Linked DNA regions of Arabidopsis thaliana. The protein of the gene in region 2 interacts with the protein of the main gene of each other region in a pairwise test. Each region holds a gene or a part of one and is shown on either strand. Other genes may lie near its edges. The genes, in order: AT1G21790, AT4G25160, AT4G18340 and WRKY59.

Region 1 (7,159 bases), on a different chromosome or scaffold from region 2:
AGAAGCAGAAGCTGCTAAATCTGAAAACATGATGCTGAGACGCGAGTTTCTTACACAGCGTGAAGACCTTGAGATTGTGATGATTGAGAGGGACTTGAGCACTCAAGCAGCAGAAACTGCTAGTAAGCAGCATTTAGACATCATAAAGAAGTTGGCGAAACTCGAAGCTGAGTGCAGGAAGCTTAGGATTTTGGCTAAAACATCATCATCGCTATCATCTAATCAATCTGTGGATAGTCATTCAGATGGAGGAAGGGAGAGAGTTGAGGGGAGTTGCTCTGATTCATGGGCATCATCAGCATTTATTTCTGAGTTAGATCAAATCAAGAATGAAAAAGGCGGCAATAGAAGTCTTCAGGGCACTACTTCATCAACTGAAATTGATCTCATGGATGATTTCCTTGAGATGGAACGTCTTGTGGCTCTTCCTACTGAGACACAGGCTAAAAACTCCAAGGATGGATATGAATTGAGCTTAATGGAGAAGTTGGAGAAGATACAAGCAGAAAAGGATGATCTTGAAAGAGAAGTTAAATGTTGTAGAGAAGCGGAAAAGAGATTGAGCTTAGAGATTGAAGCAGTTGTTGGTGACAAAATGGAGTTGGAAGATATGTTAAAGAGGGTGGAAGCTGAGAAAGCTGAGCTAAAGACATCTTTTGACGTGCTCAAAGATAAATATCAAGAGTCAAGAGTTTGTTTTCAAGAAGTTGACACAAAGTTGGAGAAGCTACAAGCAGAAAAGGATGAGCTTGACAGTGAAGTTATTTGTTGTAAAGAAGCAGAGAAGAGATTCAGCTTAGAACTCGAAGCTGTAGTTGGTGACAAAATTGAGATGGAAGATGAGTTGGAGAAGATGGAAGCTGAGAAAGCTGAGCTAAAGATATCTTTTGACGTAATTAAAGATCAATATCAAGAATCTAGAGTTTGTTTTCAAGAAGTTGAGATGAAGTTGGAAGCGATGAAAAGGGAGCTTAAACTAGCTAATGAATCGAAAACACAAGCCGAATCTCGGGTGACCAGAATGGAAGCAGAGGTGAGAAAGGAGAGGATTGTCTCTGATGGGCTAAAGGAAAAGTGTGAGACATTTGAAGAAGAGCTTAGAAGAGAGATAGAAGAGAAGACAATGATCAAGAGAGAAAAAGTGGAACCAAAGATCAAACAGGTATAGCTTTTTATTTTTCTGATCACCAATTAGTCTTTTTTTCTTTTTCTTAATCCTTGTTTCACTAAAAGCTGATTCTATTGCAGGAAGACATAGCAACAGCTGCAGGAAAATTTGCAGATTGTCAGAAAACAATAGCATCACTTGGGAAACAGCTACAATCTCTTGCAACACTAGAAGAATTCTTGATCGATACAGCTAGCATTCCAGGTTCTGCAAGGTCAGTTCACAACAAGGAAGCTTTGTTAGGAAAAGATCCTCATGAGTGCATCAAAACAATCAATGGAAGATCACTTGAGTTTCTTGCAATCCAGAACAGCAATAACAAGACCTCACCTCCTTGTTCATCTTCTTCGGACTCAACAACAGTGTCATTAATTATGTCATCAAACCGAGGGAGTTCTGAGAAGAATCGCAACGGATTTGCCACGGTTTTCACTCGAAGTAGAAACTCAGTAAATTTGGGGATTTAGGAGAAGCAATAGGTTCGTTCTTGGAGTATAGCTAGAATCAATCTGTTGTTAAGCTGGATTTCTTACCATAATTTTCAGATTCTGACTTGTTAGTAGCAAAAAGATCACCCTTGTTTCTTTTGCTACATAGTGTAATCTTCTTAACGTTTATGTCTTGTGAGATTCATCTTTGTTATTTCACTGTCACCAGTTTGATGGTCTCATATGATGCATTGTCACCAAGTAAAATATTGATTTTTGTTTTGTTTGGTTAGATAAAGACAAAGAAAACTGCAATCTGTGGTGCTGCTGAACTGCTGATGTTGAATCTATTCATTGGTCGTGTCTAAAATACAATATTTTGGATTAGATTCTAAACTGGTACATGCAACAGAACAAGCACCTGAGGTTCTATGGTGTAGTGGTTAGCACTCTGGACTTTGAATCCAGCGACCTGGGTTCGACTCCCGGTAGGACCTCTCATGCTCTTGCATTTTTTTTTCTTCCAAACATTGGTGGAAACTGAACCGGACCAAACTTCATCAACTCAACACTAAACAAACTTTCCTAATAGATTGAAAAGATTATACCAAAATTTAACTGAATAAACCAAAGTTCATTAAGATTAACTTTTATATAATGATTATGATATATAAATCACAACCAAAGATCAAACCAAAATTCTAATTTGGTTCCGTTTCCCCAAACACAAGAAGAAAAAAAGTCTGTTGACTGTAATCATCAAGAAATAACATTTACATGTAGTTTTCCTATAGAGAGATACATACAAATCTGAAAGCTATTAGAACTTAGTAGCAAAGCCTCAGATATAAACAAGAGATGAGTGGGTAGTATTCATACAACAACAAACCATAGATTCGGTAATGGATTGCCTCTAAATTAGCTATTATTCTCCATGGTCGTGAAGGTTGCCGTTCTCTTGGTTTCTTCTGTGGCTTCTCTCTCTTCTGAAAGCATGAAACAGATCCAACCCGAGGCCAACATTAAGAATGTTCATTCCTGCCATACCAGACAGAGCGAGTGGTAACTCCACGCCTTTCCCAAACTTGTGTGCGTCTTTGATCAGCTTGATAGTGATGAGAATGTGAGGAATGCATCTCGCAAACACAAAGGCTGTCCAGTTTAATACCCACTCCAGTTTCACCAATGCTGTGTTGCTGTCTCGGATTCCTGCCATTCTCCTTAGCTTCCTCACGTGTAGAAAGATCGAATGCATCTGTTTACACATCCGAATAACAGAGGTGTCACTTTTGTTCGAACAAGTAGATGTTGTAGAGTTGAGTCTATATCTAACTAGATTGTTATATATGAAACTAGTCTAGTTTAACTAGAGAATGTTAGCATAGATTCGGTAAAGAACAGAGAAAAGCCAGGGCAAGTTTTCAGGAAGAAAAAAGTGGAACGTACCTCACAGATGAGAGTAAGAATAAGGTAGTTGATGGTTACATTTCGGTATAGTGCCAATGTGAAGCAAACAAGGAGGACTAGATGGTGAACAAGAATAGAAGGTATTAAGCCGCTGTATAACCGGTACTGAAGCATATCCCACTGGTCATATGCAAAGTAGCCGCATGAGAAACACAAAGCTGGATATGCCCATTTCCAAGTCCCACCAACCAACTCAGAATGATCAAACATCTCGTCTAAACCTTTGGCTAAGCATTGATTGAGAAGTATGAAAACCACTGTAGTAACACAAGAGCAGTGTTGAAGATGAAAAATCATAATCAGTAAGGCTTAACGAAGAAAGAACTGCATTATACTCAAGCTATGGCAATCAATCATAAGACTAATCCAATCGGAAATAAGAATCACATTAAGCAATGAAACCGTGAAAACACAGCACCAAAGGAAAATTGACTAATACCAACGACCAATGTGCACACCTATGATAAAATTTCCCCACTAACAGAGCACAATCCTATAGTAAGAACTCAAATATAAGAGAAGAGAGAAAGGGACCTGATGCGGAGGTGATGATTGAGTGCAAAAGCGAGACAGAGGTATTAACAAATATAGGGTCACGAGAAATCCATGAACGAACAACCCAATTCATCAATTGAAAGAAGCATCCACCGCAAATCACCCAGAGAAGCTCCGTCCGGAGATTGAAAGCAATCTCAAACACGACGGAGACAAGCCAAAGAAGCAGCGTCGCTAAGAAAAACTGCCCAGCCCCATTCTTCTTCCCTCCTGAACTCCCAATCCCGTTCCTCGCCATCGAAACCTCACTGTCTCTCTCGGAGATTGCTTGAGAATCCGGCAAAGTTAACCCTAAATTGGATTCTTAGCTCAAACTTCGATATCCATTTCCAATTTTGGCGGAAGAGACGATACAAATGCCTTCACGTTATAAGCTTTACTTTGGGACGCAACGGACACGTGTCGGTCGATACTTCATCCTCCTGATGCTGACTCATCTAATTAAAACAAAAAACGTACGATTTCAACATCGACAAAATTATCATATTTTGTGCCGACATTCGATGTCGACAGTCATTAGGCCTAGTCACAGCCCATTTGAAAGGCTCGGCCCATTTGAGAGGCTCGGTACACCAAACTAGAGGCAAATCCACTCAATACTATACATTAGACAGAGTGATACAACAAAATCCAGAGTTGTTGTTAGTTACACACACAGAAGAGAACAAGAAGACTATAAACAAAACACCATCAAGCTGAAATGTTCAAAGTATGTGTGTAAGTGTATATTAGACCGGTTTCCACACAGACAAAACCTCTTGAAACATCTCCAGCATCAGTTCTCGATCAGCTTGCCTGAAGAAACTGCTGATTTCTTCTCTGACATCATAAATCTTTCCGAAATCAAACAAATACATCAAACACCCTTTCTTCAGTTTCTCCAGCTGATAAAGCCAAGCTTCTTGTAGCCTCTCGAGCACATTACTCGAGTTTATATCTTCCATTAGGCTCTCCTCGCAGGCTGCTTTCAAATCCGTTATGTCGTACTTGTTTGCAGCGCCGAGGAGGGCGAGCCTGTGTTTCCAGAACTCTTCTTGGGTTATGTTTCCGTAGAGGTAACTTAGTAGAGCCATGCAAGATTCTCTCGACATGTCGTCTATGTGGATTGTGGATGATTCCTTTTCCATGAGGTCGTGGTGGAACATGCTTTTGAAAACAGTTGAGCTAGCTGAGAGGATAGCTTTGTGAGCAGAGAGTGTTCCATCGGCTGTGTGGATGATTACATCGGTTAGTATGCTTTCCTCTAGCATCCGGGATAAGCATTTGAGAGTGGTTTGAGTAGAGATTGATTGCATTGTTGCATCGGTTGGCCAAACAGGAGAAGCTTCACCACCCTGGATTATGATTTGATTTGATCAACCATGGAAGTACAAATGTTACAAAGAGAAGAAATTGTGAGAGTATAAATAGAATCATTAAGCTTACATTCACAGGGCAGATTTTGAGATCAAGAAACTCAACATCAATGGTGAATCGACCGTGGAAACTGGAGTCAACATGCCACACACAATCATCAGTTGTACGCAGCAGCTTCTCATAAACTGCACCAAATAAACAGAGTATCTCAGCTTAAACAAACCTAATTCAGTTGTAACCATCCCATAAGGTACTACTAATCATCAGCCAATCATTAACATCTAAATTAATATCTTTCAGATTCCACATAATTGAATATAGTTCCCACATAAAAGGTAATTCCCTTTCCTGAAATACCTAATTCGAGCTCGACAATAGAATTCAAATTCCAAATCCAGAAAAGTCAATTCAAAGACAAGACATACCAGGAGAGATGTAGAATCTACGATTGGGGCCAACGTTGGAGACACGAAGAACAAATTTGGCAACAGGAGGTTGCTCTTTAGATACTCGAGAAAGTTCTGGGAATAGCCTCACTGATAGATAGCGATTCCTCTCTATAGACAGATGCCTTCATCATATCCCAAAACAAACAAAAATCAAAATTCCGAAGAAAATTTACCAAAATAAACCAAAAATGAAAAGCTTACCAATTCCAAATTCCGACTTTGAAAGGATCGGACTTTTTGAAAGAACAAGGACCAAAATTTTCAATTCTCCATTGAGCTAACCTCGAGATTGTCTCTACCTTCGTGTCCCCCATCCACTTTCTCTCTGAAGTTTTGACTTCCTTTTCTCTCTGAACTCTTTACTTCACGCCAAATAACACGACGAAGCAAGCAAAACACTCTGCCGCCTCCATCGCCTGCCACGTGTACGACGATTATACGTTTTTATCCATTAAACCGGTTTACTAACGATATATTAAAATCAATTCTCGGTTTGAAATGAAAGAGAGTGGACTTAGACTTAGAGAGATAACAGATAAAATGGCGACGGGGACGGCGACGGAGAAACCGAAGATCGTGTGGAACGAAGGAAGACATAGATTCGAGACTGATGATCACGAAGCCTTCATAGAGTACAAGATGAAGAATGACGGTAAAGTCATGGATCTGGTTCGAACCTTCGTACCGCCGTCAAAAGCAGGACTTGGTTTAGCTTCGCATCTATGCGTCGCCGCTTTCGAACACGCCTCTGAACACTCTTTCTCCATCATCCCCACTTGCTCCTACGTTTCCGTATACATCTCTTCTTTCCTCAAAAAATTGAGATGAATCAGATTCTTATGAAAATATGTCGTGTTTTGCAGGAAACGTTTCTTCATCGAAACCCAACGTGGCAGCGTCTGGTTCACTCAGAGGATGATTCCAAGAACCTCAAGTCTAGCATCTGATCAAGTCCTGCTTTAAAGCCTTTTGGTGTATAATAAAAACTTGAAAACATTATCTTACAATAGTAAAGCTTGTTTCAAGTAATCTCTGTAAACAAACAAAAATCCCAAAATGTATGTTTTTCACAATTCGACAGCAACAAACAAACACTAATGTTTGTCGTAACAATAAATATAACGTGAAAACATTATTCTATGATACATTTTTGTACAGAAACTTCGATGTGTCTCTTTAGCCAGTGACATAGTAATCCATTTTCTCCGGTGGCAAGTTCAGAACCGATTCGTCAACCTAATAACATCAAGGAAGATATTCAGATCAAATCAATGTAACTAAGATTATAGGTGGGAAGAGTATACAATAATTTATAGTTTACTTACCTCTTCGAAAGGAACGAAGACGAATGCAGTCATACCCCTCTTGTGTGAGACGGCAGGTATATCCGGGTTGTGAGTTTCATCGTCTTCCCAACCTTCAACTAACCCAAGAATGTCTTCTTCTGTGCTGCTTATTTCCTCATCGTTCACACCACTTGTCACAAGTGACAGCAAATCCATCCTGTTATTCGCTCCAATAGCTGTTCCTCTTAACCTAACCACACCCGAAAACATATCCACACCAAGAAGATCAAAATGACTATCAGCTACTAAAAATTTCAACCCCATCACATTCACCGGATCAGATAAGTCTTAGATGAATGTACTAGACACGGTACTTTAAAAGATAAGTAACAGGCCTTCTTCCCAATGCCAGACCAAGGTTCTAAATGCTATTACTAAAAAGAAGTCTTC
Region 2 (9,620 bases):
ATCAACAGAAGGAACAGAGCCAAACAGAGAATCATCTTCTTCCTCAGAAACCCACTCAAAATCATCATAACCTCCAGAATTAACAAAGGAAAAAGGACCGCCGCCGCTCCATCCGGAGGTTGCAGCCACCGGAAGATTCAACAACAACCCAGAAGCCGCGGAATACGTCAGATTATTCGACCCAGAAGAAGAAGATCTCTGTTTCTGGACATGCGAAACAGAGGCGTTTCCAGCCGGAGACGACGTGGACGATGATGATGAAGAAGCAAAGGGATCTTGAATACCACCGTTGGCTACACCGGTCCTCGTCATCGCACGACCGGCGGCGCGTAACATACCTCCGCCGCCACCCATAGGCCCTCTTCCTCCACCAAACATAGAGAGATCACTATCAAATTGTTTTTACTTACACGACAGGTTGCGTATGTTTACTCGGTGAGTTTGTCTTTTGGTCCGATGCTATTTCGTAGGCTTTTTACTTGAAGCAGTTTTGATTGAATCGAGGAAGTGGATAAATGCGAAATGTCTTTTATAGATTTTCAGGAATATATGACTTTCTTTACTTTGCTTTGGTCCTTCTTCTCCACGACACGCTTATCCGTTTACTCTGTTTTCTTTTTTTCCATTAAATGCATTAAAATACTACTCCACTGTTGTTATAATAATAATTGTTTCAATACTGGATTATATATCCCAAATTTATTTGGTACGTCAGCATATGAGTTTCCAAAAACGAAATAAAAACATAATAAAAAAAAAAGAGACTATGCTTTATTATAACTAAAGGTGTACATAGATCAAATCATAAAATTTCATATTCAATTTGGATAATTTGGATGTGGTTAAAAACCTAAAAGTCTAAAACCAGTACGTAATAGTAGTTTTCTTTTTTTCCGTGTAACATATGTATGGGTTTATATAAACCAAAACATATTTGTAGGTCTTTTTCATTTTGAGTTTCGGTAGCGTTTTCAATTGGATTTTATTTGAATTTTAATCCAAAATAATGGATTTTTATCATAGTTAGACAAAAATTTCACGGAATTTATGGGTAAATAGTTTTTCTTTTGTTCGTGAATGTCAACGAACATAGGCATTTTTAGTGTGGTCAAACTATGTTTAAGTTGATGTGTGTATGTATCTGACAGGTAAGTCTGTTGTTTTGCAAACATGTTTTCAATATCATTCTTTACCAAAAAATGATATTTTCATATTACAAAGCAGATTATTTTAGAGTAACTTTGTAAACTATTCAAAACAAATGTGTACACAAAGGTTACTTTTGCATTTAAACCTTTATGTAATTAATAAATCAAGTCATTTCAGCCATTAATAAATTAAGATATTTGTATCTAATTCAACATTGTAAATTATCATATTTAAAAGTTCTTCCACTATCAAATTTCATCATCGCCATATAATTAGAGTTTCTACACTCGATCATGTATTAAAAGAAGATCTTGACCACACACACAACAAAAGAAACAAATTGTAAGAAAATACCCATTTGCAAATTTCCTATTAATAAGTTATAAATAAATTATATGTCATTTGCTATTTACTAATGTCATTTATCCAGTTTTCATTGGACAAACTCTGCCTTTTTCGTCCATTTTTTTCTTAAAAAAAGATGGCCATTCATAGTAAAAAGAATATTATGTAGTGCAACACAATATTGATATATATTCTTATATTTTTGACAGAATTTGTTCTTTAGTTTTTGCATCAAACAAAACGAGAATGGAGAAAATAATCATTGATATATTGACCTGAACACTAGTCGTTTACATTCAGAATACACAATAGTAATACGAATACTAGACTCAAGAGCATGAAAACTCCAAAACCAATTTGAAAGTGGGAAGACATTTCGTACGGAAAAAAGGAGAATCAACATAAGAAAATAATAATAGATTTTAAGTTTATAGAGATATTAGATAATTGAAATTTGAAAATAATGTGTCCTGATCGAATATTTCATGATGAATGACTACAGGGGATGAAGATTTTAGCGTCGAGACAAGACAAGTTTAAAATTCGAGTTTTTTCCACCTTTTATCATCAATCATCAAGGAACAATGACATGCCAATTCGTTTTCCATAAGTAACTTTTAATGTTTTTAGCTTCTATAGATACTTTGAATGCTTTTATTCTAAAAGGTCTTTGTTGACAAGGTCAAAGAGCCTAATCGAATCCTCTTGATCAGCCAGAGAGTTTTGCCTTCGTCTTTGGATTTTGCCAAAATTGGTTACTTAATCAGCCAGAGGTTAAAACTCGTAAACCGGCGTTTAAATTGAACCGGCCAAATCACGGTTCAAATGCGAACCAATGTTGTAGGTGAACTCTACCAAAGTCTTGTACCACTCCACTATGCATAAAGGGGAGGAGACAAAAAGACGTGAGGAAGACATAGATCATGCGTGCAACTATGGCCAAACTCGATATAATAATGGCGTTGAGGAATGTAGTTAAATACCAAATAATTAGGGAATTAAGAGATAAACTATGATTAAACTAATAGTCAAGGCCTAAGGTTGGAGAAAACTTCTTTCTTTTAGAACACACTCTCCTTCTGTCACTCTGATAATGAAGAAAATTCAGGCGAGAGAACAAAAGAGTATATACCCAGGACTGATCCTCCTTTGACCATTAACATGACCAACTTGTCTCATTTTCTTATTATTTTTGATGCTTCTTTTCAAATCTTTTTTAGATTCTCTGGTTATAAGAACCCATTGTTTGTATCTGAGATTAGCAGCACCAACGTGGGTCTTCATCTTCTTCTTCTGCTGCTCTCTTTATTTTCTGAAATTGATTGCTCTGTGAAATGGAAGCTTCCACCATTTCTTCTCTCAATTTTTGTATTGGGTTTGACTAAAGTCGCATCCTTTATTTACCAGGTAGGTTCAATTTCTGGTTTTCTTGTTTAACTCTATGCCCTGAAGATGGTCCCTTTGATTGACTTGATCAATGTTTCATAACCTTTCGAATTCTCTGCAATTGCATTGTGCTCAAAGTTGACATTTTTATTGGAAAGTTTGAGTTTTTTTTTTTATCTTTATAAGAAGCTAGCTATTTGTTAGCTTCGATGGTCGTTGAGTGTTGTTGCTTTACGATCCTTTTGGTCGTCCAAATTAGACTCTGAGACATTTGACTTTCAACGCTATTAAGAGTATCTCATGATCGGTATACCTCCGTTAGATTCTGTCAATACTTATTATTATTTGCCTTTTCGGTTTGATGAGTTGATATTCAACATTCAGCTATGTGAGTTCAAATATAATTACTGTCTGTTGATTCCCACTGACTGGAGAGTTTTAGCTTTCCCTTTCTTTCATGTTATCTCTACTTTAGGAACAAAACACTCTTTTTAGAACATTGTTTTGCAGTGTCTGAAATGGTTGTAGTGTGCAGGGTCAATAGAAACAAGAACACAAAAGATTAACAATGAGTAGATCACCAGACAAGCTTGCTCTTCCTCCTCCTCCTCCTCCTCCCCCATCTCGTACCGTCGTTGTGGCTCTAAGTGGGAGCAGTAAAAGCAAATATGTAGTTACATGGGCGATCGAAAAATTTGCTACTGAAGGAAATGTTGGCTTCAAGCTGCTTCACATCCATCCAATGATTACTTCTGTACCTACACCAAGTAAAGTTCCAACTATGCCTTGTATTTCTGTTTCTTTCTTTCTTGTACTCAGGACTTCTTCCTGTGTTTCCCTTTTTTCTATTTGGTATTGTTGTGTAAAACAAAATCAAGACTTATTGTAACTGATAAAAAGCCTGATGTACATTTCTTGCTCCTTCTCAAGTGGGAAATGCAATCCCGATTTCCGAGGTACGAGATGATGTAGTAACTGCATATAGACAGGAAATACTGTGGCAGTCTGAAGAAATGCTTAAACCTTACACAAAACTGTTCGTGCGGAGAAAGGTATTTTCTTTGGTATAATGAGATATCTTACGCTCTTCTTTAATGAAAATTTCAAGGTTACATGAACTCATTGAATTACCTTAATGAAAGGTTGCAGTAGAAGTTCTTGTGATCGAATCAGATAATGTGGCAGCCGCAATAGCTGAAGAAGTGACTCGGGATTCAATAGACAGAATTGTCATTGGAGGCTCATCCCGTAGTTTTTTCTCAAGGTACACTACCACCCTGCTGCTAGCTTTCGACCTTTGTTCTTTCTATTCCGTGTACCAATGAATCTGTTTTGAAAATTCCAGGAAAGCTGATATTTGCTCGGTGATATCAGCTTTGATGCCAAACTTTTGTACAGTCTATGTTGTTTCAAAAGGTAAATTGTCATGCGTCCGACCATCAGACTCAGACGGAAATGCTACTATAAGAGAAGATGGTAGTGAGAGAACAAATTCTTCAAGCGGTTCTTCTGGTCCCACCTCAGGTCCATGACTCATCAATGTATTTGTGTGAATACTCTACTAGAAATGGTGTGTATATCTAATTCTGTTACCCCATTTTCTCTTCTAGATTCATCAGATGTAATGTCAAGTGCGCATGACTCTCAATCTCGTCCTCTATCCCTTCCGGTCAGGAGAATGCAACATTTCCCTGCAATTGCAGGACAGGCATCAGTTCCAATGGAAACGAGTTCTGTTGGCTCGGATGAAACCAGGTGCATGTCTTTGGATGCAGAGGAAGCTAGAGATGTTTCAAGTATCAATAGAAGCAGCACAGATACTACATCACGTTGGACTCCTCGGCGTAGAGATTATGAGGAGAGAAAAGAAGCTATGAGTTCTTCTTCGAGCAACCGTGAATACGGGAATTTTGGTACTAGGTTTAGTTGGAGTGGCATGGGTGTCGATACTACACACTCTCGGGCTTCTCAACAAGCTTCCAACATGTCTGATGCTCTAAGTGAACAATCCTATACAGACAACCAGGTATAAAATGGAGTTTTAATTTCGACATTGTCTTGTGAATCGGAATAATATAAGATTATTTGTTCAGGTAAACCTAAACTTTGAGGTTGAGAAGTTGAGAGCTGAGCTTAGACACGTTCAAGAAATGTATGCTGTGGCTCAAACCGAAACCTTTGATGCTTCTCGAAAGGTGAAGGCCTCATAATATCATATATCTTTGCATTTGATGAAACTTATTAAATTGTGCTCAATGCTTTTCTGAAAATGTTTCAGCTTGGTGAACTTAACCAACGTCGGTTAGAAGAAGCCATAAAGCTTGAAGAGCTAAAGCTGAAGGAGTATGAAGCTCGAGAGTTAGCAGAAAAGGAAAAGCAGAATTTTGAGAAGGCAAGGAGAGATGCAGAGAGCATGAGAGAAAGAGCAGAGAGAGAAATTGCGCAGAGAAGAGAAGCCGAAAGGAAATCCGCACGTGATACTAAAGAGAAAGAGAAGCTCGAGGGCACTCTCGGGTCTCCTCAGCTGCAATATCAGCACTTTGCTTGGGAAGAAATTATGGCTGCCACTTCATCATTCTCAGAAGAACTGAAGATCGGAATGGGAGCTTACGGAGCTGTTTACAAGTGTAATCTGCATCATACAACTGCAGTTGTCAAAGTTTTGCAGTCAGCTGAAAATCAACTTTCCAAACAATTCCAACAAGAGGTATGGAAGTGAGCTCAAATTTGGTTTAAGGAACTTTGTTTGAGATTTTGTGCCTTTCACTATATGGAAGTTTTCTGATTTTAATTTCAATTCTTGTGGATAAGAGTCTACATTTATCTCACTGGCCTCTCTAATTTGCAGCTCGAAATCTTGAGCAAGATTAGGCATCCACATTTGGTTCTCCTTCTAGGAGCGTGCCCGGAGCAAGGTGCTTTAGTTTATGAGTACATGGAAAACGGTAGCTTGGAGGACAGACTTTTCCAGGTCAACAACAGTCCGCCACTCCCGTGGTTTGAGCGGTTTAGGATTGCTTGGGAAGTTGCAGCGGCTCTTGTCTTCCTCCACAAATCAAAGCCTAAACCAATCATTCACCGTGATCTTAAACCTGCAAACATCTTACTTGATCACAACTTTGTCAGCAAAGTTGGAGACGTGGGACTCTCAACGATGGTTCAAGTCGATCCTCTATCAACTAAATTCACTATATACAAACAAACAAGCCCCGTGGGAACGTTATGCTATATTGATCCGGAATATCAGCGCACTGGAAGGATATCATCGAAATCAGATATCTACTCCTTTGGAATGATTCTTCTTCAGCTTCTCACAGCAAAACCTGCTATTGCATTGACACATTTCGTTGAGAGCGCAATGGATAGTAATGATGAGTTCCTTAAGATCTTAGATCAGAAAGCCGGTAACTGGCCGATTGAAGAAACCCGGGAATTGGCCGCATTAGCTTTGTGTTGTACAGAGCTACGCGGGAAAGATAGACCTGATTTGAAAGATCAGATTCTTCCAGCGCTCGAAAACCTAAAGAAAGTAGCTGAAAAGGCAAGGAACTCATTTTCCGGCGTATCGACACAGCCTCCCACTCATTTCATCTGCCCATTACTTAAGGTAAACTCTATATAAAACCTTGTTCAATGTTGAAACATCTCATCTCAGTGTGTTGTGGTGAAAATGTGTGAGCTTGTGTGGTATAATGCAGGACGTGATGAACGAGCCGTGCGTTGCAGCAGACGGATACACATACGACCGTCATGCGATAGAGGAGTGGCTTAAGGAGCACAACACATCGCCGATGACGGATTCACCGTTGCATAGCAAGAACCTTTTACCCAATTATACTCTTTACACAGCCATCATGGAATGGAGGTCTACACGATAGTAGTAAGCCAAACTGTGTAGCGTTTTTGTGGATATATAAACGGCAAGACGTTTTGCTTTGTACTACTACTACACACATGCTGAATCAAAAATATAAACCGAAACGAAACCTTAATCATCTTGTAAACGAATATTCGGATCCATCCGTTAATTTGCCTCCAAATAAGAACACAAAACCATTGCCCTTTATTTTTCATTTTGGTATTTTGGTCTTTTTTGTCTCTCTTCCTTTCCATTGCCCAAAAAGAAACAGAAACTTTTCTCCGAGAATCCTCATTTCTCCGTTGAAAAAAGGACCTTGAGAGGAAATGTTTCACTGTTTCTAGGGTTCTTATAATCCACTTCCTCATCATTAGAGAATGGAAAATCTCCTCTTCTCTTTGATATTTCTTCGGATTTCGCTTATGTCCTGAATCTCTTGAAGACCCAATTGAAAAAATCTCAACTTTTTTTCTCCCGGCGTTTCCGGCGATATACAATGCGGATTCTCGTGAATCTCATTCTCTTCTCCTTGATTCCTCTGGCGTTCTCCAATGAAAACTCCAGCTCGTATCTCATTGCGCGACCATTGATCTTCGAAACCCAGCTCAAGAACATAAACGACAATGTCAATCTACATTGCACGAGCTGGAGATTCGCGGCGGAGACAAACAATCTCGCTCCATGGAAAACCATTCCAGCTGAATGCGCCGATTACGTGAAAGATTACCTGATGGGTGAAGGTTACGTCGTCGATGTGGAGAGAGTCTCCGAAGAAGCTAAGGTTTACGCGAGCAGCTTCGAATCTAACGGTGACGGGAAAGACATTTGGATTTTCGATATTGATGAGACGTTATTGTCGAATCTTCCTTATTACATGGAACACGGTTGTGGGTAATTTATCTTAAATCTTTCATTTTACAACATTGCTATAAAAAGTTGGTTCCTTGATAATTGTATAGATGGATTTGTCTTTTTACTATGTCGAATTAGTTAAGATTTGAGGTATGTGTTGTTGTCTGTCTTTTTCTTTGCTTGTTTGTCTATGTATGATAAATGTGAATGTTTGTTCTGTTTGGGAATTTGCAGGTTGGAAGTTTTTGATCATTCAAAGTTTGATATGTGGGTAGAGAAAGGGATAGCACCTGCTATAGCACCAAGCTTGAAGCTTTACCAAAAGGTTATACATTTGGGGTACAAAGTTATCTTGCTTACAGGGCGTAGAGAGAACCACCGGGTTATCACTGTCGAAAACCTGCGCAATGCCGGTTTCCATAACTGGGACAAGCTTATTCTGAGGTATGCATACTCTACTTTTGGACCTCCATTACAATGTAGCTCATACAGTTTTTAACCAACTATTGATCTGGATCCATGGTTGTGGTAACATGACGTTGTTTGATCTTGGATTGTAATCTTGGGTTTGAATGGATGATTGACGCTTTGGTTTGCTGCTTAATGTTAATAGATCGTTGGATGATCGGAACAAAACAGCGACCATGTACAAGTCAGAGAAGAGAGAGGAGATGGTGAAAGAAGGGTATAGGATCAGAGGCAATTCAGGTGACCAATGGAGTGATTTGTTGGGTTCTGCAATGTCAGAAAGATCCTTCAAACTTCCAAATCCAATGTATTATATCCCCTGAAGGGGATCAACTAGAATCAGGAGGCAATTCAGGTTACTAAATGGAGCAACCTACTGTTTTTGAAGTTTGGGTTGCCATGTAATCACTTGCAATAAATATATGTACTAATGACTGCATCGGCTTGCGTGTCTAAATTTGTAGCTTATTGAAAACTTTTTGTGGTTAAAGACGAATCCAGTTAACTAACATAAGTTTAACAAAACAAGACCTTTTCCATATATAGACCACCGTTACCAACTTACAAAGAAGCCAAATAAAGTACAACACAACACTTGCAAGTTACAAAAAGAGAGGAAAAAAAACATGGTACCATTTGACAACATATAGAAACACACATAAACATTACTTATAACAAAAAGATTCAAACTCGGCTTTTATTATCTCCCCCTGATCAAATTCTAAACACTTTATTCCTCATAAACTAACTCCCCGACATTGGAGTTATTGGACTATGACGATGACATCAGTGGGGTAACTTAAGTAGTGTGCTGGCCACCACGAGTACGGTCACGGTCATGTTCCCCACCAGTATGTTGCTGTCCGTAGTACTGAGCTCTGTCTTTCAGATCCTGAGCTTTGCTTCCCAACTTCATCCTTGCACTGTCCAACTTGTCTGATCCCTGTGGGTGCTCTCCCGTTGCGTACCTATTCACAATCAATAGGTATCATACCAAGCATTTTACCTATATAGATGATATACACAGACACATTCAAGCTAGCTAGGTCAAATTTCGTATTTAGTTAACCAAATGTTCCCTAGAATTTGCAATTTCTTATTGTTACATTTGTTATTCGACCAAAAAAATTGATCCAAAGCTACTGGCTCAACACATGCATGCACATATTGCACAAAATTATGAAGTAAGATGATAAATGTGTGCTTACTTGTAAATCCAAGAGAAAACGGTTATAGCGGCAATGCCAAACCCTCCAGAGGAAAGAAAACCGGTGATGAGGAGTGCAACTGTGATGAGAGCCGGGACAAGGATTGGGCTGAAGATAACGAGCAGAGGTGTTGCAACAGTCAAAGCTATGACAGTTCCAACAAGGGTAAGGCTGGAGAGAACAAGGAGGGAACCACCAGCTGTGACAGCAGTTGCAGCTTTAGCAATCTGCCTAGACTTGGAGTAGTCAGATCCTCGTCCGGACATCTGGTACTGGTCTCGGTCTCGGCCCATCATCGGGTACTGGTCTCTGCCGATGATATCGTGATGGGTTCCTCTAGCTGTATCCGCCAT
Region 3 (7,535 bases), 2.8 Mb from region 2:
CTCCTCCTTTCTAATGAAGTAGTGATGAGTTTTTTATATTGTTTGCATTCAAAAATAATTAACATGTGCCTTTGTATGTTTAATCACTTTCTTTCGACTACAATATAAAACTATATTCATATTTAACACAACATTGACGAAAATTTAAAAAACAAATTCATAATTTCATTAATGATATTACTTATCACTAATTAGGAATTATATAATTCTAATTCCCTCCTCGTTCTGAGCTTTTGTTTCATCTTTACGCTCTCTCTTACTCTCAGCCAAAACCCTATACTCTCTTTCAATCCCAATGGAAGATTTGGTTTTGATGAAACAGAGTCTTCTAAAAAGCTTCATCGTCTCTCTTATTCTCACTCTCGTCTTCCTCATCTCACCATCATCATCATCTTCGAATCAAGAAACAAGAGTATCATCAACACAAAAAACGGAAGCTTATCTCAACGGTTACGAATCACCGCACCAACTCGTCTACATCAAGAAAACGACACCGTTTATCTTGAACCAGCGGTTGCAACGAGACAACCACCGTCGTCGTCGTTACAATCACCAATACTACTACTACTATCGACATACTCTTCGTCATCGCCGTGGTCTTCATCATCGTGCTGGCTACTTCAAGATGATGGCCAAGAAGAATAACGGTTTAAACCGTCCGGTTCGACAGGATACTTTCTCGGTTATGCTTCCCAAAGGATTCGTACCTCCTTCCGGTTCATCTCCATGCCATAACCAGAACCCTAATTCCGCTACTACTCTCTTTTGCGATCTTTCTACACAACCCTAGATATCGTTGCCGATACGTCGTACGTGAAACGATTTTGTTCCTCTCGTCGCACTTTTGTATTTTTCATCTTTTAAAGATTTTTTTTTCTTTTTTGTTCGGAATGACCGGTGCATTGATCAGTGCATTTTTGACGGTCAAGTGTATGAAAATAATTTGCATACTAATGTTTGATTGTTCGTGTCCTTTGATTTTTCAGAAAGTACTTATTTTTCCTTACGTGCAGCTGAATTATTTTATTCTATAAAACTAAACTTGACTGATCGGTAAAATAATATATGGAGAGAAAAAAGCATATGTGTCTATGTTTTCAAGGTCAAAACGCATCGTTTGTGGCAAGAACAAGGGAGTATATTGAGCCGATATAATTGGAAATGAGCATGTGAATTTGCATCGTGAGCATAAGCTCTTGTTTCATGGCTTTTTTTTCTTAGCTTCAGTTCCAATTCTTCGTACCGTCCACTCCAATGCATATGTTTGCATTCTAATATCTATATTATATAACTAGCTAGGGATTGTATTTAAAATATCCAACAACATATACAAATGAATTAAGCTATGCCATATTTCTTGAATTAGAGGGAAAAAAATATATGGTTGATTCTAAACCGCTACTGGTTATCGATTATATGCCTTTTGGTCAAAGTTACTACTTACTCAAACCTTTTCATATACGACAAGTTTTTCTTAAAAAGTAAACTTTGTTTCTTTATTATATATGTCAATTACTTGTTAACGACAACAATAAATTTAGAATTTTCACTATTGACCGACTTCATTTGAATGTTGAATTGAATATAAATTATATTTATCAAGCTTATAATTAAATTGTTTACATAAATATCCTAAACAATCGCGTTATTATATTGTCAATAACTTTTCCTCTAAAATAGTCTCAACATTACAACTTGAACCATCGCCAATATCAAAATTGTCCAATACTCCAAGCTCCTCTTTGCCTGAAAGAAGAAGAAAACAGAGAATTAATTCATTTTGCACATCTAGTCCTTTCACAAACTTATTCTCGTCGTGGCCCCAATAATTCCAAATTCTAACAAAATTCACCACATAATACTAATCGTACCTTAGTGGCAGAGGATGAATAAGTGACAGATTCTGAATTTGCCGTCGTTGTCGACATTGTAGAGAATCCCAAATTGTAAGCTAATGATCCATCTGGTTGGAATATACCGTAGTTTTTCTCCGAAGTAGGACCTGGTTTCATATCTTCATTGAACAACGCAAATATATAAACATCGAGTCTTGCATTCCGTCTCGCTGGAGTTCCTTCTCCGGCGAATTGCCTCATCATAAGATTCCGGTTATACGTGGCAGCATTCACAGGAGACGCTCCAATCTCTCCGACATCTCCTTTTGAAGGCCACCCTGTTTCCGCAACCCTAACTTCTATGTTACGGTACCCTAGTTTCGCAGCCGCGAAAGCAACTGCGTCAACTTGAGCATACATCATGTTGTCGTAGTGTAGTCTTGTGTTGGGATCGGTCATGCCGATGTTACGGTTGAATAGAACGTAATCGACTGGGATTTCTTGTGGGTTATCTTTGTAGGCAAAGTAAGGGTAAGCATTTATCCAAAAAGGAGATTTCGTGGCTTCCAAGAAATCTAGAAGTTGTTGCATCACGGAGGAAACCTCCGGCTTGAAACTTCCGGCAGATGGAGGATAAGATTCACCGAGGACGGCAAGAGAGCTTGGAGACGAGACTTGAATGTATCTATCTAAACCTAATTGGACCAAGGCTTTGTGGATGTTGATTATCGCCGGCATCATGTATCTATTACCAAAAAGAGGAGAGAATATAGTCAAAATTAGCAATTATTGGACAAAAACTATTACACTCATTTCTTATTGAAATTCAAAGTGGAGTTTAATAAATATAATATTTTTTTCGAAGGAGTTCGTTACATTTGACCAAGTGGTAGTCAAGAAAATGTGAAATCAGTTAATGAAAAAAAACTAATTCTGTGATCATGTAACAAATTAGACTAATATTCAACGATTAGTACTTACCCTATTAAACTAGAGTCGTCGTCGGTGAAAAGCTCGTTTCCGACCATAATTCCGGTAATCCTAGTGGCCGGAACATAGGGTTTAATGTGAGAATCTACCCATTGGGTAGCTTGTTGAGGATCTTGTAGTAATGGTAAAACCTGATTTTCGATGGTGACGATGATCTCGATGTTTGAATTTGCAAAGGCACTAAGGATTTGAGGGTTAGTGTCGTAAATTCTTGTTTTTGTGATCCTTAAAGATCTCAAGAGGTTAATGACTTTATCCGGTGAAGGCAAATTGTTCCCAACTTGTCCGTAATTGATGCCAAGAGACGTTACTGTTTGTAGTATATTCCCTATATTTCCAAACAAAGAATCGAACTTTTAGAAAACAATGCCAAAAATCTTTAATATTCCATTAAACAAACATTGAAAAAATGAATTCTAGACTTATTATCGATCCGTTATTTCACTATGTTAAAATCTTACACGTTGAGGTTTTAAGGCGGCAACGTAAAGCATAACTTAAGTGTTAAGAATTTGGTTTTAAAATTTCAGAATGAAAAAGAAAATAACCTGAGAAAACGAGAGAAAGCAGGAGAAAAACATGAATGAGACTGGAATGTCTTGTGAATGTTCTTGATGTCATGTTGAGGAAGAGAGAGGGAGGGAAAGAGATTGTGAAGGTTTTGGGTTTTAAGAGAAGTGTTTAATGGAATATTTATAGACATACACAATAAGCCAACCAAGGTGAAGAATACTTTTCTTCGCTTGTTTGTTTTTTTTCCGTGTTTTTTGTTGTGAAAAGGTTTAGTGTTGAAGTTTATGTTTTTTAAAAAAAGTGTTTTTAAATTGTTTAGCTTTGCCTCCCTATATTGCTTTTCTCATTTATGCCTTTTTTATCCACTGACGGCTTTCTATAAACCACAACGAAGGATTTCTTATTAAAGAAAATTATTAGGTTTTAAAATATTTGTATGTAGTTATTTATCATATAGCTAGATTAATGCAGACTCTATGACAAGACAATTTGCATGCACATGTATGGAAGGAAATACGTTGTTTGTGTGTTTCGTTTAATTACATGTACTATACAAGTGGTGTTAACTGTTGGGTTGGTAAAAAAAGTGAGCAATGTTATTAAATTAAGAAGAGATTGGGATACACATAAGTGGACGTGTATAGAATATTGAAGAAGTTTCATAAAGCACCGGAAAATATTAAAATATTCGTTTCAATTAAGTAGGTGAGTCGTGACTTAAAACAAACTTGTACTATACACCAAAAGTTTATTCTACGATAATCATGGAGAAAAAGACGTGGTATAAAAATTAATATTAACACAATGAAATTTTAATAGATAATCATGTCTTGTAGAATAATCATGAAAGGTAAAATATCAAATTTTCAGCTAAAACTTCATGACAAAAGAAATTTTATAATGGGTTATTAGTCCCACAAAAATGGTCTTTATTTTTCTTATTAACTTTTACTACTATTAATATTATTATCTAATTTATCTGAATCATTGATTTTACTAATCACGTGTTAATTATGATTAATTTAATGCTAATTCAAATTCGAAGAATAATGATTACATTTTCGCATGAATCTTGACCGCAAGTGTATCCTAGCCTAATTAATATGACAAACAAACCTTACTATATTTCTTTAGACAAAAGCTAATTGGAGATCCGATTTGACTTGACGTGTCAAAGGATTCAATAGTACACTGAGGAAGCCTCCTCCGTTTCTCCTTTAAAGTTTAATATTTTCAAATCTCCCGGGAAATATAATACATACAAATAAACATATATCACATATTTATTTTCTTTTTGTAATCCGAGGCTTTTGGACGGAAATTCATACAAGTCCTCGAAAGTTATCAAGAACGGGATATCCAAAATTGTATTCGTGAAAGATATATAAGTCGTAATATAATTTGCCATTAATTGTCAAGAAAAAATCTCAAATATATTGTTATTCGGATTAAGATGATAGAGAAGGGATATACTTACTTTCCTTTAGACAAAAGGATCATGCTTAATTTTGAGGCACTTGTAAAATAAAACAAGACAAATATGATAATGTATAAATTGACAAATAACTAAAAGCATTAGCATAACAAAAGTAAAATAAAATGGTCAATTGGGATAATGTTGCTAATATGCTTTCGAGGGGAATTAGACAAGTTGGCGGGGCAGTGTCACACACTTGGAGCCGTCGGTCAATTTCAACCATCGGTTGTTTTTTAATCACCTGACATAATAAACCCCAACAAAACTTATTTAAGAAATAGTAAGTGCTTTCGCTTGGTTGGCTATTGATTTGTTAATCAATTAATTTCTACTTACTATATTTTTAAATGGTAAAATATAAAGGGTTAAACTTGATCACGTAGACGATAGTCAATTCGTTTTCTCGAAAGGTTGGCTAGCCAGAAAATTACATTAATTTAAAGTGGAACTTTTGGCTGTATTGATCTAATCCAAAATACCCTAGTGTCTTCTTTTCGATTCTATAATATTAAATCTTCTCTCTTTTTCACGACACCAAGAGCCATTTTATTTGAACACATGTATACAACTTATAAGAAATATACCCGTCTCAAGCTATTGAACTTGTTGCAATTAAAAATGTAATCGTTCGATGTTGGAATTAAATATGTGGAAAGGAGTCAAAATCAGTCAATTATTCAGAGTGGCCTGTTTATAGTTGGCTGAAAACTTTTAGTTCGTCGTTTAAAAGTTTGATTTCGTGGCTTAGGATTGACCACCGGTCGACTTATGGCAGTTCCATATAGATTAATTTGATAATGACGTAACTATATACCATACACGGCCGAACAGATTGTTTTATATAGGCCTATATGTGTAAAGTTAAAGATAATTTGATTTATTATCGAGTATATGACACAAGTTTTAATTTATTTCTAATGTTTAAATTTAATGATTCTGGTTTAGTTCTTCATGAATATGATCTAGTTTGTTAATTATTTACTGAATGGACATATTTTTGGTTGCAGAATATTTCAAGTTTACGTTATCTGTGGATATTTTAATGTCCAAATCAGAAAGATCATATAATTGTCCAGCAAGTTTGAAACAGCAGACAGAAAAAGAGAATGATTTTGTTTTAGCTCGGATTGAAAGAATATGCCATTTAATCTGCAATTTATTTACAATATCGAATATGCAAATAAAATGACATGAAAGCTTTTTAAAGCAACACAAGTACTCAACGATATCAATGTTTTTGAACAAAGGTTAAGTTTCTTCAAAGAAAGGGTTTAACCCTTTTAACGCATGAAAAATAGAGTATATATAGGGTTTACTTGATTCGGATTTCCATGTTGGACATTTGCAAATGTATGATGCATCACACCCAACTGTGGGAATTTGATAGTGATAGGTAACTAAATTGGTTAACCATTTCCAACTTGGACCATGTGCGAATTGGTTTGAAGGTGGTAATATTAAGGTACCTTTGAATTCTCCCGCATGAATGATTCGGGAAGTGTTATAGCGGGTTTCTTAAAGAGAACAGTGTAGATAAGGGAGAAGATTGCAAAATCAAAAAAAAACAAAAAAAAAAAAAGATTGCAAATTTTACCTACTGTTTAACAAATGGATCAGGCCAAACCATCATTAAACATGCTTGACAGGTCTAGGTTGGGTTGGACCGACATGTTTTTTTTTTTACTTAACAATATATAGTTCACCAGATCAAAAATTCAAATTATATCTGCATAAAAGATACTAAGCTGCACCAAAGTGAACATATAGTTAAATAATGAGCCTATAACGTATCTAAAAATTCTTTTTGACGTCATACACTTGTATTTTATATTTGAACTGAACTCTATATACATATATTACCAAGATTCACATACTGTACTTAGTTTGGATTCATTAGACAAAATAAGATATTTGACGTCATATTAAAATACAGATATCGTGGGCCATTTCGAATAGTGGATATATATAATACTTATAATCGAGTCAAAATGGTGTAAAGCATTATTTCATAAAGCTGCCTACAAAATTGAATTTTTGGTGGATAATGGATAAGGATTAAGCGGCAAGATTTATGAAGAAGAAAAACAAGCTTTATGATCATATAGGAGAGGAAAGTTAATGTCTTATCCAACAACGATAATGCTTTCTCGATAACCAGTAAACATCGTGCATGCATGGCTAAAAGCTTTTACGTGTGCTTTTTTTTTCTTTATAGTAGTTAAAATTTAAATGTTCTTATACTAATCAAAGTGTTTTTCATTTATGACGCGCATACGTAAAAAGGGCCTTAAATCTATGTGTATGTTTCTCTTTTTACTCCATCTTTTTTGGTTAACGACAAGAAAATGAGAATTTCGAAATATTTTATAAAAAGTATGTAAATTTGGGTGCGACATTAAAGGATAAGACACGTAATATTTTAGAAATTTATATTGAAAGTTCAAATTTTTATATTATTAGGGGACAGCTTATCGTTGGTTTTAGTTGTATTTTGTTTTGTCAACTTGTCTGATGTCATGAGCTTTTAGGCATTTTCGATTCTAGAATTTTAGTTTTGCATGTATCAGAGAATTGTATTTAAACAAATTAGACACATATTCAATGATTATTACTTACCCTATTACAATGACAAATAAAAAAACGGAGACGAGTCTAAAATGATAAATCCAACGTGTAGTCTAGTCATACATCGTTGTTCAGTTGTTAAAAGATTATAAATT
Region 4 (7,994 bases), on a different chromosome or scaffold from region 2:
CAATTGGTTGATTCTTGTCCTTATCTAATGAGTTGACCCCTCGAAATTTTATGGTCAAGGACATGCTTTTGCCACATCTCATTGACTCGTATATTAGAGCTTCTCAAATTTTAACAATTCGATTTTTGAGAACGCAAATAGTGAATCTAATGAATGACTCATGGATGACGTTAGCTTATAACTGTTGCTAAATTTTTTATTAGTAATACAAGGGTGCACACTCATCATTCAATCAGCCAATCACAATTTTCCAAAATTCAGTCAAACCAAGTTGTTTGTCCTAGGAATAAAGTATATTTGGGAAATTTGATTGCATTGGTTTCCAGTTATGATATAAAAAAATCAAACAGAGTCTAAAATATATCTTAAAAAGTGAAATTTTCGGGTTTGGTCTTGTCAACCATATTAACCGAGTTATTTCTTTGGCAAATGAGTCAACATGACTAAGTCAAACATGGGAGACCGGCTACATGACTAAGTCAAAAATGAAAAACATTGGCCATATCTCTAAACTATGGTCTTTGCCTTTTCATTATGATAAGTGCATGCTTAAACTTATGATAAGTGCCTGTCATTACATTTTTTTGTGTAGGATTACAATTTTCCTTGAATTAGTTTTATTTAATCAAAAAATGTATGTATTTCCAAATAGTTGTTTTCGATTTTTAACCACATGTTATATATAAGCACATATATAAACAATATTTTGCTCTTGTGCTTTGTTTGTTTTGTTATTGTTTCTATCATATACAAATGTGCTATGTACGTATATTATATACACTACTTGAAAATTGTTCTCTAATAATATAGTTTACCAAGATTGGAAATCAGAAGACTTTTTACAGGTCTATCCATCCCTACGATTCAGAAGCAAGAACATCAGAAACATTCTAAAGATTGAAATCTCTTTTTTCATGTTGGTTCCATCTCCAAAAGCCTAGTTCATAGTAGGAACTCTGACAGCCAAGAACCTTTAGTCCAATAATAAAAGAGTAAAGAAAATATGTATACGTAGAATATTTATTCTAGTGTTATATATCGCACTAAAAATAAAAAAATAAAAAATCTAGAGAGCTAATTTAGTGAGACATGACAATATTATAAGATATTATTCCATAATTTTTTTAAAGTAGTAATTTTAGGGACTCTTGTAGAACTATTATTATAAAAAAAAAATATTTGAATATAATATTATTAAAGTTAATCTTATTTTTAAACTAAAAAATCAAAAGTTACATAATTATCCTAAAAATTCTATTTTGTGGTAGCAGGAGTTGCGCCGATAACTTTTAAACATTGTTCCTCTATTACAGGAGGAAAAAAAGGAATGAATGGAACTTTTGATATGCAATTGGCTTTAGTTTTCAAAAATGTTTTGCAACAAACAAGACCAATGTTACCGAACTTGGCAGTAAATTTCGATTGAGAAATTTCTGCAATGTATCATGGAATATCCATTACAGATGATCAATATTTAGTTATATCCGTTAATTCTGACATATTAGGAATTGTCTGAAATGGAAATAGATAAGGAAAAGGAGCTAGAAACTACGGTAATTGGGCATTTTTTAGGTTCTCTTTTTTTGCTAGGTCGGGGATTAGAGAGATTGGGTTCCGATTTTTTTAGGAATCGGTTCATGCCGGGAGAAGTGTTGCAGGTTCAGATTTGTTCAGGGGTTCGATTTAGCGACTGGAACCGTTTATTTTGATCAATGAGTTCGGATCCACCGTCGTAGCTGTAAAGTAGTGCTTCTTGTAATCACTGGTATTAATGGATGTGTATTCTTGTTTTCCAATCAACCTCCAATATGATCTCGTGTTCCCGATTTTATCAGTTCATTCCTTTTTATTTTGTAACCGTGATATTGTTGTAAGGACTTGGACCTATTACCCATTAAAATGATTTTAATTAACTAAAAAACAAAATTTTGTTTTAAAAGTTTCACGTATTCTATAAATGGAGATTTTTCATGTATATTTCACGTTCTGAGCTTTTTCACCAGAAACTAGTAGTAGAAACTCTATAAAAAGATAGAATGTCGAATAATATTATAGAACCATAGTTAGTACCTTGATCATGAGTTAATTAGTTTTTAGCCAGAGGTTTGAGTACTTCTAAGTCTTCAACAAAGAAAAAAGACAAATCTTTTCCGTCGTAAATTTCTCGTGCAAGACGCAAAACCCCAAGTTTCCACGTGGAAACCACAAGCTTCGTCGACCAAACCGGTGCTTCACCACGCGCCTAACAACGACAAAAACTGTATTAACACTTTAAATTAATCAAATCTCCACGGCAAAATGGCTCACGGAAAATGACGTAAGCATGCTGGCGTATTTTCACTGACGTCATGTGCCTTCGACCTTGAGGTTGTGCAGTAACTAGCAATAAGATACACTTACAACATGCAATAAGATATTAATAGTTCATGTAGCAACTATTACGTCTCGCTATTGGTTGCTCAAATTTTAAATCTAAAGTTTCTATTATCAATTTTCTATGCTGGTAACAAAAGGTGCTTTTTCCTACATAGTTACAGAAAAAGTCGCACTTTACATGAATCATAATGATGGCTTTTAATCGGCATATTCCAGAATTCTTTTGTTAAAAGATGATATAATTAACCACTGGCAAAAAAATATAAGAAAATCATTAGTGATGGTAACAATTTCGCCATCTGAGAATTGCTTTTGAGAAAATTAGTTCAGTTGCCTTTTAAAAATGCATTTTACCGCAAAGCCGTCTAGTGTTTCCCGAATTTGAATAATTATTTAATATCTCTTTAAAATGTGATAGGTGTTTATTTATTATATATTGATTTTGGCAACGCATGCAGAGGTTGGTGTTTGACCATAATTATTTAAAATGTCCGACAACTTGCCCTATAAGGCTATTTGTATTAGAATTAAAAACAACAATGGAACTACTTGTACAATAAGTTTAAGATCCGTAAAGGATAGAATCTGAGCTATTAGATATCTTTTAAATTGTTTTAAATAATTTTTGTCTCTTTTTGGTTAGGCCAAAGTTAAAAAGAAAAACTGATGAGACGTGGTGCCAAAGTGACTTTGGTTGGCTAATACAATGCAGCCTAAAATTAGACGTAGTTTTATGTCCGTTGATCCATACTTGTTTAGGTCCAGAAAACATAATTCTAAGAAAACTGTCACCTACGAAATTCCAAAAACATTTGCTGATCAGTTTGATACATGTCCTTGAGTATTCAGGGTGCCTTAATTCGTTTGTATTAATATCGTCTCATCACAATTTCGATGTTCTTTTTAAATGGTGGTTCTTCTGTCAATTACAAATCGAATGGCACTCTACAATCGACAGTATTTTTTTAACTTACTTGCATCAAAGTCAGTCTCTAATACCGTATGAACTTTAATAATTTTGAACGCAAAACAAATTGGTTATGAGTGAATTGGTACTTGATATATTTCCTATACATTACTTTAGGTTCTTTTTAACTTTTTTTTGTGTTGTAAACATTATTTTTTAATTTTCGACGTGATATCTTAACACGTACTATTACTAAAGAAATGATGATGGTTATAATCGATCAATTTTAAACCGGCATTTAACTTAGGTCATCCTACTTGGATTAACAAACTGAGTTTTATTATCATTTATGAAGTTCACGGGTTCTAACTCAAAAATTAATAAAAAAATACTAGATTTTCCTTAAATATTACTTTAAATTTTTCCTAACTTTGTGAAATCATAATACAATCCCAAGTTGATAGCGCTCTTATCAGCTAATGTCGAATAAAATCCCACTCTAAGATCAACAATTAATAAAATATCCCTCCTTGAACCATTCTATTTAGATCAAACTCGGCTCTATACCATGTTTATTTTCATGAACTTATAACCCAAAACCAATTACAAATACTTGTATTGGTTCATATCTCATATGTGTCTTCTTTCTTACCTTAGATATGGAATTTCTAATATATTCATACATAAGTTAGAAGCATGTTAACGAGACCTAGGTTTTCTGACCCACCATCATCTGTTGGTTCGTTTGCTAGCTACATCATTTCGAAATCTAGCTTTGATTAAAAGTGATTAATTAGTGTAATATGATTATATATGAAGGGACCAGTGATGTTACATGCATTTTTTACTCGAGGATTTGATTGGACAACGCTTCAAAACTTTTTTATAAAACCTTAAAGTTGTTAAAAAGTAAAATTTCCCACTTTTATGGGTACTTTATTTTTAACTTAAATAAATGATAATTAATAAAGAAAAATCACTTGTCGCTATAGCTATTCTATTGGAGAAGCTTCGTTGAATCTACGCACGAAAGTAGCCATGAAAGTTATTTTATTACTTAATTAAAAGCAAATAGACTTTTATTTTATTTTATTAATTCTATCATTATTTTTCTTAGATTTTGTAGTATAAATAAACAGTATTACTCTAACAATATCTGTCCCTCCTCTTAGCTTCAACCGCCGGAAAAACTAAACAACCTTCTTGGAAAAAAAGAGAAACTAAAAATGAACTATCCTTCAAACCCTAACCCTAGCTCCACAGATTTCACTGAATTTTTCAAGTTCGATGATTTTGACGATACTTTTGAGAAGATCATGGAAGAAATCGGCCGTGAGGACCACTCGTCGTCACCGACTTTGAGTTGGAGTTCATCGGAAAAGTTAGTGGCTGCAGAAATCACAAGCCCGCTTCAAACAAGCCTAGCTACCTCACCTATGAGCTTTGAAATGTAAGTCAACTTTTATATCATACATCTTAGCAAAAATTTAGTTGTTGATGAAAATTATATATTAGAACAGTGATATTTATCAAAAATAATGATTTATATAGAGGTGACAAAGATGAAATCAAAAAGAGGAAGAGACACAAAGAAGATCCGATTATTCACGTCTTCAAAACGAAATCATCAATTGATGAAAAGGTTGCTTTAGATGATGGGTATAAATGGAGGAAATACGGAAAGAAGCCGATAACGGGTAGTCCATTTCCAAGGTAAATCATTAATTCTAACTTCGTAGAGGACGTATAATACCTTTATTCGGTTATCATACTTGGATTTAAAGTTTATTCAACAGCTTGGATTATTGTAGTTGCATATGCTACAGGTTGTGTTGATTTGAGTATTGGATTGAATGTTTCCACTTGATGAATTTAGAAAGAATGCATCTCTTAAAGCGTAGAATAGTTAAATGTCAAATGGACAACTTGATACAACTAATATATAGTCGAGGCTGTCAAGTTTTACAAGTTAACTACCGATATTTTTGCATTAAGCTTATCGGTTAGTTAAATAAAAGACAGACAAAGCCTTACATCGATGTAAGATAAAACCAAAGTCTTGTACATGATATATAATATTCACATTTATTCATTGCAGAAATCATATATATAGTTATTAATAATTTCACTTTTAAAATTTGGTGTTAATTTCTGTCTACAAAATACTATTACATAGAAATGAGATTTTTATTATTATTTATGCTCTAAATTAATAAGAAGAGCATTCCTTTAAGAGTTTCGACTAATAAGTTGAACATAATTTTGTATACTAAAACCTAATTCACACAAAGTCACAAACTATAAATGTGTATTTAGTTTATAATACTCCTTCCATATTTTATCACCAATGTTTTAGGGAAATTATTTTGTCACAAATTAGATGATGTTTTCAAATTTTAATGCAAAATTAGTTACTGTAATTTATTTGATTGGCACTTACAAATTCTATTCTACAAATTATTTTATCATTAGTGAAATCATGTTTAGCTAACTAATAAATAATATTTAAGTTTAGAAATAAATAAAATTAAATAGAAAAATCTGAAAAATTAACTATAAAAATGCAGAGGAATATACAAACTAGTTTTTTTTATATAGTATAAAGTATAAACTAGTTAATGTTCCCTCTTCGGAGATTTTTGTCCAAATGCAATTTTCTATTTGTATGTTTGTGTCCAACATGCATATATTTACTATCACTTAGTTTTACGTATATTTCCATGTGGAACATGTGCCCCAAATACATCTATTGAATAGAAACTAATTAATTGTCAAGAATCAACAAGGGTTATTTAACTTTTTAGTTTTTCTTTGTGTGTGTGTATATTGTCCACTTCCCACAAGTTGTAATATAATCTTATAACAATAACACTTGAGAATATCATAATTGAGTTATTTGTTGTATCATGTATGCTACCTTTGATTTCAAGTGGATACATAAACGACGTTATTGTTTTTGTTATCCTAACAATTATTGGACCACACTATATATAATAATCAAACTGTTACATTACAAATCTTGTAGAATCTCTTAAGAGTTTTACTAAATTATTGGTGCTCATCATTATTTGGAACAGGCATTATCACAAGTGTTCGAGCCCAGATTGCAACGTGAAGAAGAAGATCGAAAGAGATACGAACAATCCAGATTACATATTGACAACATACGAAGGTAGACATAACCACCCAAGCCCTTCTGTAGTTTATTGTGATTCAGACGACTTTGATCTTAACTCTCTCAACAATTGGTCCTTTCAGACGGCAAATACGTATAGTTTCTCTCATTCTGCTCCATATTGATCGATCGTAGTTACAAGTTTGTGTATATAGATGTATATATATATATCACCAATTCACCATCGTAATCACGTCTCACATGTAACTACGTACATATATCTTGTTCGGGGTTCGTTTTGTAATGTATTGAATTGGTGGAGGTAGAATGGAAGTCATCTTGTATAGTTGTACTTGTATGTAAGGTTTGATAGTCATTTTTTATAAAGTAACTAATTTGTACATGAGTCTCTTTTATCGCCCTTTGTATATGTTGAGCTTTAGAGGATCGGTGTAGATTTCTGTGCATATTGTACCTAAGAGCATCCACATTGGTGACCCTCTTACAAATGTCTTTACTATAATTTATTATAAAAATTAATGTTATTTTCATTTTTAGTCATTTAGACCATCTTCATCGCATATAAAAGCAAGGGTCTTTACATTAAAAAATAAATAAAAAAGAGAAAACAGTAGAGAGTTGTGTCTCGGCAGAGACACAATAGAACCTAAAGACACCTTATGTGTCACTATATTATTGGTAAGTGATTTTTTTCTTATTTGTTTATTTAAAAAGTCGCTCTATTTATTGTCAATCTTGTTCTCTCTCTTAAAATAAAGACATCCATTAAAAGATGTGCTATGTGGATGCTCTTATTAGCTAAGTGTGGTGTCTTTAAGAGTATAAAAATGTTTCTGCAAAGACATGGAGGACACGGGTCTCCCTAGATGACATCTACACCTATATATTGGCGCATTTGCGACATTAATTCGTGGTTGAGTTTAGCAGGATCAAAAAATTTTCTCTCTTAATTTGTCTTATATTATATATCTTAAAAATGGTAAGGCTTATGTATAACTGTCTTATGAAATTTCTTATAATTAGATGGGCTTTTACTCGTATATAAGATAAACCTAAAGGTAGGCAAGACTCAACGGAGGAGGACTAATGGAGTGTTGAAACGCACTTTACGAGCTCAAGTCATGCACCAACGAAATCGTTCTCTTCTTCCTCAACGGTGAAACAACCGTCGAGGTCATCACCACCGATTGTTGGCCTGCGATGCTCACGTCTCTAGGATTTACCTCTGATGAAACCAACGTTCTTCGTGGTTTCTGTCAATCTCCAAATTCCGGTGGTTCTTCTCCGGCGCCTTCCTCTGTGAAACTTTGATGTATGCAAACTCCAATAATGATTCTGTTATAATATATGGTTTTTAAATGATATAATGGCATCTCCCTTTGGATTTTTCCGTGTGACTAAAACCGCATTTATAATTTATACCTGGACAAAGAACAAAAACAGTGTTGTCAAGAAACAGAGCATAGTAAGAACAGAGAAAGTTTCTATTCAAGTAACTTGTAAAACAAGTAGTAGATTCATGTTTTTGCAAAACCTTATAAAAGTCAATGTTTCAATGCTTTTAAACAGAAAAAA

The links.
Region 1: the proteins of AT4G25160 (region 2) and AT1G21790 interact in a two-hybrid assay, tested with the Arabidopsis thaliana proteins (one large-scale study listed by BioGRID).
Region 3: the proteins of AT4G25160 (region 2) and AT4G18340 interact in a two-hybrid assay, tested with the Arabidopsis thaliana proteins (one large-scale study listed by BioGRID).
Region 4: the proteins of AT4G25160 (region 2) and WRKY59 interact in a two-hybrid assay, tested with the Arabidopsis thaliana proteins (one large-scale study listed by BioGRID).

Annotation. Positions count from the first base shown.
Region 1 is NC_003070.9:7,651,054-7,658,212, reverse strand, and holds AT1G21790 (TRAM, LAG1 and CLN8 (TLC) lipid-sensing domain containing protein), read right to left. Parts: upstream 4,126-7,159; 5' UTR 3,857-4,125; coding exon 3,598-3,856; intron 3,321-3,597; coding exon 3,043-3,320; intron 2,852-3,042; coding exon 2,522-2,851; 3' UTR 2,232-2,521; downstream 1-2,231. Other genes in the region: AT1G21810 (filament-like protein (DUF869)), read left to right, coding at 1-1,162, 1,249-1,635; AT1G21780 (BTB/POZ domain-containing protein), read right to left, coding at 4,347-4,952, 5,044-5,159, 5,400-5,545, 5,625-5,737; AT1G21770 (Acyl-CoA N-acyltransferases (NAT) superfamily protein), read left to right, coding at 5,964-6,215, 6,287-6,370; FBP7 (F-box protein 7), read right to left, coding at 6,600-6,659, 6,749-6,959.
Region 2 is NC_003075.7:12,900,498-12,910,117, reverse strand, and holds AT4G25160 (U-box domain-containing protein kinase family protein), read left to right. Parts: upstream 1-2,521; 5' UTR 2,522-2,901; intron 2,902-3,415; 5' UTR 3,416-3,448; coding exon 3,449-3,647; intron 3,648-3,810; coding exon 3,811-3,932; intron 3,933-4,022; coding exon 4,023-4,144; intron 4,145-4,225; coding exon 4,226-4,404; intron 4,405-4,490; coding exon 4,491-4,906; intron 4,907-4,973; coding exon 4,974-5,075; intron 5,076-5,158; coding exon 5,159-5,587; intron 5,588-5,728; coding exon 5,729-6,487; intron 6,488-6,578; coding exon 6,579-6,758; 3' UTR 6,759-6,938; downstream 6,939-9,620. Other genes in the region: AT4G25170 (Uncharacterized conserved protein (UCP012943)), read right to left, coding at 1-378; AT4G25150 (HAD superfamily, subfamily IIIB acid phosphatase), read left to right, coding at 7,236-7,630, 7,826-8,035, 8,205-8,382; OLEO1 (oleosin 1), read right to left, coding at 8,859-9,027, 9,268-9,620. UniProt on the Arabidopsis thaliana protein: Functions as an E3 ubiquitin ligase.
Region 3 is NC_003075.7:10,128,574-10,136,108, forward strand, and holds AT4G18340 (Glycosyl hydrolase superfamily protein), read right to left. Parts: upstream 3,620-7,535; 5' UTR 3,447-3,619; coding exon 3,374-3,446; intron 3,154-3,373; coding exon 2,817-3,153; intron 2,581-2,816; coding exon 1,872-2,580; coding exon of another isoform or gene 1,839-1,871; exon of another isoform or gene 1,747-1,838; coding exon 1,672-1,746; 3' UTR 1,477-1,671; downstream 1-1,476. Other genes in the region: AT4G18330 (Translation elongation factor EF1A/initiation factor IF2gamma family protein), read left to right, coding at 1-14; AT4G18335 (uncharacterized protein), read left to right, coding at 296-790.
Region 4 is NC_003071.7:9,332,738-9,340,731, reverse strand, and holds WRKY59 (WRKY DNA-binding protein 59), read left to right. Parts: upstream 1-4,453; 5' UTR 4,454-4,509; coding exon 4,510-4,733; intron 4,734-4,834; coding exon 4,835-4,996; intron 4,997-6,360; coding exon 6,361-6,583; 3' UTR 6,584-6,888; downstream 6,889-7,994. UniProt on the Arabidopsis thaliana protein: Transcription factor. Interacts specifically with the W box (5'-(T)TGAC[CT]-3'), a frequently occurring elicitor-responsive cis-acting element.